2 linked regions of the Ovis aries genome follow. The protein of the gene in region 1 purifies or fractionates together with the protein of each later gene. This does not show direct contact. Links are inferred from orthologs where the notes say so. Each region holds a gene or a part of one and is shown in the gene's direction. Other genes may lie near its edges.

What was found.
Region 2: the proteins of NCBP1 (region 1) and THOC2 purify together in Homo sapiens (affinity purification with western blotting; 3 studies listed by BioGRID and IntAct, with this or other methods). This does not show direct contact. The link is inferred for Ovis aries from reciprocal best matches to the Homo sapiens genes NCBP1 and THOC2.

The regions. Positions count from the first base shown.
Region 1 is NC_056055.1:49,985,631-49,989,149, reverse strand, and holds the end of NCBP1 (nuclear cap-binding protein subunit 1), read left to right. Parts: exon of another isoform or gene 1-1,530; coding exon 1,531-1,644; 3' UTR 1,645-3,350; downstream 3,351-3,519. UniProt on the Homo sapiens protein: Component of the cap-binding complex (CBC), which binds cotranscriptionally to the 5'-cap of pre-mRNAs and is involved in various processes such as pre-mRNA splicing, translation regulation, nonsense-mediated mRNA decay, RNA-mediated gene silencing (RNAi) by microRNAs (miRNAs) and mRNA export.
Region 2 is NC_056080.1:107,651,537-107,655,055, reverse strand, and holds part of THOC2 (THO complex subunit 2), read left to right. Parts: intron 1-118; coding exon 119-298; intron 299-1,349; coding exon 1,350-1,514; intron 1,515-3,519. UniProt on the Homo sapiens protein: Component of the THO subcomplex of the TREX complex which is thought to couple mRNA transcription, processing and nuclear export, and which specifically associates with spliced mRNA and not with unspliced pre-mRNA.

The DNA.
Region 1 (3,519 bases):
CCCAGGTTTGATCCCTGGAGAAGGAAATAGCAACCCACTCCAGTATTCTTGCCTGAGAAATCCCATGGACAGAGGAGCCTGGTGGGATCGCAAAGAGTCGGACACGACCAAGCCACTAAACACAGCACATCCTCAGCCACAGGGATTCTCCGTTTTAAAAAAGCATCAAAGTTGTTAGGTTATATGGTACCTGTAAGCCCTTTAGTTAGTGTCCATTTGTTCCTACCATTGCTCATCAGAATATTTAGGCTTAAAATTGGCTCTGTATCACTCAGACTCCTAATTGCCATTCTCTTTGTTGGAGAGCCTAGCTGTGACACAAAATAAAAAAATGCTAAGGGAAGAGTAATAAGATTTTAAGAACCTCTTTAAATCCAAAGTTCAAATGATAACAGTGCTTCTGGAGGCACTATTAGTAAGTTCCCTGAGGTTCTTACAGAAAGCAGACCGCAACACATACTCTGTTAGATTTAAGTTAGATTTGAAGTACAGTGGTATCTTCAGACACCAACACCCCAAGCAAATCCTTATCGGTTTGTTCTAGACAAGAGTGTGATTAAAGCAGAAGGCTTAAAGGGGGGAAAATAGTTCCTTGAAAAATCTAGAGTAAATTTTTTGTTGGAGGCTTATTTATTGTCAATACCCTGATCCTATAGGAATCTGAGTATATTAAAGTTTATATATGTACATATAGAAGAAACTTTGATTTTCTGACGATTTTTTCCAGTTAGGCTCAGTAAGTCACTGATTTTCAGTAAGACAGATAACCTCTATTTTAAAAGATAAAAAACAGTGAGGTTTGGGTTTCCTGTTTTGTGGAATACTTAACAGATCACTGGGTAATTCTGAAATATAAATAGGTTAAATATTTTTTTCTTAAGACATCTCTTTGCTTAATGCCCTAACCAAAAAATGAAATGATTTCCAAAATTTCTTCATAGTTCATCCCTTGTCTGGGCAACTTTTAAAAAGTCATACTATATACTCTGTCCTAATTAGGGGAAGGGCTTCCCTGGTGGCTCAGAGGTTAAAGCATCTGCCTGCAGTGCAGGAGACCCGGGTTCAATCCCTGGGTTGGGAAGATCCCCTGGAGAAGGAAATGGCAACCCACTCCAGTAACTCCTGCCTGGAAAATTCCATGGACTGAGGAGCCTGGTAGGCTATAGTCCATGAGGTCACAAAGAATCGGACACGACTGAGCGACTTCAGTTTCAGTTAGGGGAAAGAACCAGCTGAACTCATCTAGAATAGTAGCAGGTGGTGCTGCCATGGCCGTGAATTATGAATTGCATAGAAACAGACCAGAACTGAATTTTTAAATTATTGACCATCATTTTTTTCTTCTTCATTTCCCCCTACATTTTCTCCATATTCGGGCTTTCCAGGGTTATTATGCCTAGCAGCTAAACCGTTTTTCTCTGCTCTTTCGCATCACTCCACAACGTGGGTAGGCTTTAGGGGAATGTTTGGGAGATTGCTTGTGTACTCCCTTTCCTAACCTAAACATTTCCCCCTTCTCTGTGTCTACAGCATCACCAGACAATCCACCAGTACATGGTGACCCTGGAGAACCTGCTCTTCACTGCTGAGTTAGACCCCCACATCCTGGCTGTGTTCCAGCAGTTCTGTGCCCTGCAGGCCTAAGGGTCATTTTTTTTCCCCTTTCCTGTCAAGATTTTTTTTTAAAGAGCTCAAAATAATCTGTCTTATTTTTGATTGTTTGAATGCTTGCTTTCTTGTAGCATCCTGTCACTTTCTAAAAGAAACAGAGAGAGGACAGTGAAGAAATATGGTATTGATTACCCTTAGTTTCCCCTAAAAAGCAGATATTCCCTAATGACAGTAATGTGATAATGCATAGGATGTATCATATATGTGACAAATACAACTTTTCTGATATTTTTTTCTCCTTAAGGCACAAAAGATAACTAATTTGAGGTATGTGAAACACTAGAGGGTCAAGCTTATTTACCAGGTAGTATATAGAACTGATGAATTTATTATCAAGTAGCATAGCTTTTCACAGCTCATGGGTAACCTAACATGGCTGAAATAAAACAAAATGTTTTTTAAACTTTGGTATTTCATGATTTATCATCTCAGTCTACTTTAGTGATTTCTTTGTAAAATACCTCCATCTGAAATTTTCTCTTCAAAATACTTTTAATTACTGTAGTATTTTTAAGATACTATTTAAAAAGTTACTAGAGTAGCAATTCCTAAATCTGAATATAAATCACCTGGGACTCTCTAAAGTTATTTTTAAATTAATATTAAACCAGTCTTTCAAACACAGACATATCAGGTAGTTCTTAAGGCTCCCAGGTAATTGCAATATGCAGACAAGTTTTGGAATTATCATCTTAGAATATCTGATCTCAAACCTGAGACAGATCTGTCCAAGCTCATATAGTGAATTTCGTGTTAAAGTGTGACTTAAAAGTAGCTAGACTGACTAAAGCCTAGTGTTAGATGTAGGTTTGGATTTTATTTCTGTGGAATCAGGTCCAAGTAACTACTAATTCCTAAACCTGTTTCCTATATGGTGTTGAGGCTTAACTAAGATAAGAAAAGTACATTGTAAAATAACAAGGGGTTCTCTGACATTCCAGGTTTCTAGCATTTTTAGTTTTTATTTCATTGAAGCTTTGAAAAAATTTAGCAATAATCCCACAACTGAAGTAGCTTTGTTCATTTATACAATATAGGTGTTTTTTTTAAACTTAGTACATCATAAGTTTATGGTGCATAATATACGGGGTCTCTCTGGTTTACCATATACTTAGTGGCTACAGAATATAGTCTACTCAGTAGATGGAAATTCCTAGGATTTTAAAACACCATACCATTTAAGACAAAGAATCACAAGATTAAAGCTGCATGGCAAGTTACTGGCAGGGAACTAAAAGCCAAGCGCTTAGCTAAGTGTTCTTTTGTTTATACTGTTCTCCTTCCCACAAACTATGTAATTAGTTAGAAATGGCTCCTGTCCTCAAGAAGCTAAAGGATAACCATTTAAGGCTCTGGTAATTCTGACCCTAGGCTGCTTTGTAATCCTTTCATAATGTATTGCAAAGTGTGGCTACTTACATTTTTACTTGATCCACCTCCTTCCTCTTAGACCCTCTCTTCACATGTAATGGTTGCTTCTAACAACTGCTCACTAATGTGACCCTGCTCTTACCCAGTCTGGCAAACTAGGTATATGGAAAAACCAAACCAGAGATTGAATTCTGAAGAAACAAACATTCAACAATCGCTCTCCCCACAAATGAAGCTCACAGAGACAAGAACAGCACGTCACACTGTACATCGTACCTTGCAATAAATCAATATGCTCTTAAACTGCACTGATGCCATTTAACATGCTTTTGTCCAAGTAAACATAATTTTTGTTTTCCTTGACTCTAAAGCTCATAGGAGTTACTCAGAAAGCAGTTCAAATGAAGATAAAGTTTGCTTGCTTTTCCTGGAAAGTACTTAGCAGTGATTTCTATGACTTATTAACAATCTACAGTT
Region 2 (3,519 bases), on another chromosome or scaffold:
GTGTGAGAGTTTTTATCTTCAGGATTGTAACCAAACCTTTCCTGTTTTCTTTTTTCAAATCAGATGGCATGTGTTATGTACTGGTACACTAGTAAAATGTATGTCTTTTCTTTTGCAGGGTGGTTATTTTGGTCAGATAAGAAACACGAAAAAATCCTCCCAGAGATTAAAGGATGCACTATTAGACCACGATCTTGCTCTTCCTCTCTGCTTGCTTATGGCTCAGCAGAGGAATGGGGTAATCTTTCAGGAAGGTGGAGAGAAACATTTGAAACTTGTGGGAAAACTCTATGATCAGGCAAGTTAAAGTGGCCTTTGTGTTTCTGTGGGTTTTTAAATCTTGATAATGGAAAATATAAAATGTTATGTAATTTGAAAAATGTCATTTTGCTCATCATATATGTTATATATACCATGGTATATATATTATATATATATTATGGTATATATTATATATGGTATATATTATGGTATATGATGTATATATAAAATAGATATTCTGGAAATAGGGACAATTTCTGTGCAAATTATGATATTTAAGAGATGGCTCTAGGGGATATAATAGTATAAGGTTTTCAGTCATTTTTGAAAATTTTATGGTAATAAACTTGCATTTATAATATACACAAGTTTAGAACAAAAACCTAACAAAATGTGAATAACAATAATCATAGATTGTATAATGAACCCTTGATCAGTTTTAAGGTCTAACAACTTTACATGGTGATGTTAATTGTATCACTCTCTAAAAATGTATTATGTGTTCATGGGCAATAACATTCAGGTGACAAAAGACGTAGTAATACGTCTCTAGTCAATAATGCATTAAGCACTGAAACCTATGGCTAACCTAAAAAATGTGTTTAACTATCACCATATTACAAGGTAATTAAAAAATCACACGTGTTTTATAAAATTTTCTACTTTTAAGGGCCAAGAGAATTGACTTGTATATACATAATATTGTTCTATAAAATTTAGGTAAATATATTTTACCACTAAAAGTGGTGAACTTGAGACCCTGGTCGACTATCAAAACACCCGTGGCGGATTCATGTCGATGTATGGCAAAACCAATACAATATTGTAAAGTAATTAGCCTCCAATTTAAATAAATTTATATTAAAAAATTCTCAAATTAGTTAACTTTTCAGGACTTGAGTGTATTTTTTGTAATATGATTAAGTTTGTGGATTGTCTCCAAAGTTCTTTCAAGTAGTAATATTTGAATTCTTAATTGTTAATCAAAATATTGTTAAAAAGAACATCTTAGTCATTTTGGAAAACATTACGTTGGTTTAATAAAATGTTAGCACATTTGTGTTTTTTGTCTTATTTTTTAAATTTAGTGTCATGATACCCTGGTACAGTTTGGTGGGTTTTTAGCATCTAATCTAAGCACAGAAGATTATATAAAGCGAGTGCCTTCAATTGATGTGCTCTGTAATGAATTTCACACACCTCATGATGCAGCATTTTTCCTGTCTAGGCCAATGTATGCACACCATATTTCGGTAAGTATAAGTATTTTTGCTGCCATTCCAAGAATGATTCCACATTACTTCTTAACTGTTTTATTTGTAAGTGCATTGTTTGACATAGGTTATTAGAGAGTTGCTCTTTTGTTAGTACTCAGCTCTGAGCAGTGGTCAATGAACATAACCCTTTTAAAAAGGAAAGTCTTTCTAGTTCTATAATTTTACTGTTGCTACACTACCAGTTGTCCAAGTTGATATCTTGTAGGTCCTCTAGAACTATAGTTTTTAAACATTAGTGCAGATCATCAGGAAATTATTAGAGAACCACCAGGGAAGCATCTTAAAAACTTAACCCCATGTCCATAAATTCTGATTTAGAAACTTGAATGCTACCAGAGAATTTTTGCTTTGCTTTTTTTTTTTTTAAATAAGACTAGATGATTCTGATGCAGATGAATGTGGCATATCATTCTGAGAAACACCCCTAGAGAGTTTCCTTAGTGACAGTTATCCTTGTCAGATAGTTGACTTGCTATTACACATACTGCCTTGAAAGAAAAGGCTGAAAGACTTAACCACCTCCAAACATTGTAAATACTTCCGCACTCTCTGTTGTGTAACTTCTAGGAAAGGTATATTCATGGTTTCTATTTTATTTCTCTCCACCTAAATAAAAAACAAATGAAAACAAACAACAACAAAAAGCAAATCCCCAAGTAGGTTATCTCTTTAGTGACTGTACTGAAAATCAAGTAAGGATGTGGGGTAAGAGGAGAAAGTCCTTCCTCTTCTTGTTTATCTGCCATCTGGACTCTTCCCTTCAAAGCCATTACCTCTAATAGGAATCAACTTTTCCTTTTTCCTCAGGGCCATGGTCAGTCCTCTGTTTGGAAACTATGGTCTTCTCCACTCTGACTGGAGTCTAAGCATATTCTTCATTTTTGTGTAGGCTTGGATTCTAGCCCTTCTGTTTATCTGTTGTTTTTAAGTCTGTACTATGCAAGGCTTTCATTACATATTTGAGGAAAGATCTTGGTTCCCCTATCTTTAACTAGGATCCCTTCTTTTTTCCAGTAGGGATACAGGGCTGTGTATTAGAGTTTGGCAAAAGATGCTGAGAAATTTGGGATCTAATTGATCATTTGATCAACTTATTAGTCATAAACCTAGCTGTTAGTGTTTACATATCAACCCGCTACAGTCTCACACTTAACTTCTAACAACTAACTAAGTGTTAATTGATTCAACTATTGCTTGCAATACTGTGCTTTACTCTCTAGAGGGAAAAAGACAATAAGGGAGTAAGATTGGGCTGTTGCTTCTCCTTCAGACTCTTCTCAATCCAGAAAATTTATATTCTCTTTCTGTAGTTATATTTTGTGTTGTTGCTCCATCCCCAGTATATCAGTCTCAGCTATACAACAGGGGACCTGATTTCTTGAGGGACTGAGGTGGGAGAATTGCTTCATCTCAGAAGTTCTGACCTACCATGTACTATACTGAGAAATGAACACACTAATCAGTGATATTGAACCCTAGCAAAGAGAAAAACTTGGTTGCTTGACGTTGGCTGAGTGTTTCCAGGTCAGAATATGGAGCAGATCATTCATACCAACAGCTACTTTTTCCATAGCCTGTAGAAAATATTGCTTAAGAGATAAAAATATCTAAACGAAGAAATGTCATTCCCCTCTCAGGGTTGAGAGGAAAACAGAGAACTATAGAGGTGGCTGTACAACCAAGTCAGGGGTAGGCCACATACTACCCCCTGGAAAGGGAGTTCCCCAGCAACCTTGGTTGCACTGGATTGGGCATCCAAGCTTCCCTTGGGATCCTTACTTTGCCTCTTGCAAAAGCCCCTCTTGAAGAACCCCCCCCCCCCCCCCCCGCTCTTAAAAATACCTATTTTGTTTCTTGGCCATGCTGTGCAGCATGTGGGATCTTTGTTCCCAGACCAGGGACCATACCTGCATGCTCTGCATTGGAAACGTGAAGTCCCAACCACTGGACTGCCAGATAAGTCCCTTGAAGAACCTTTGAT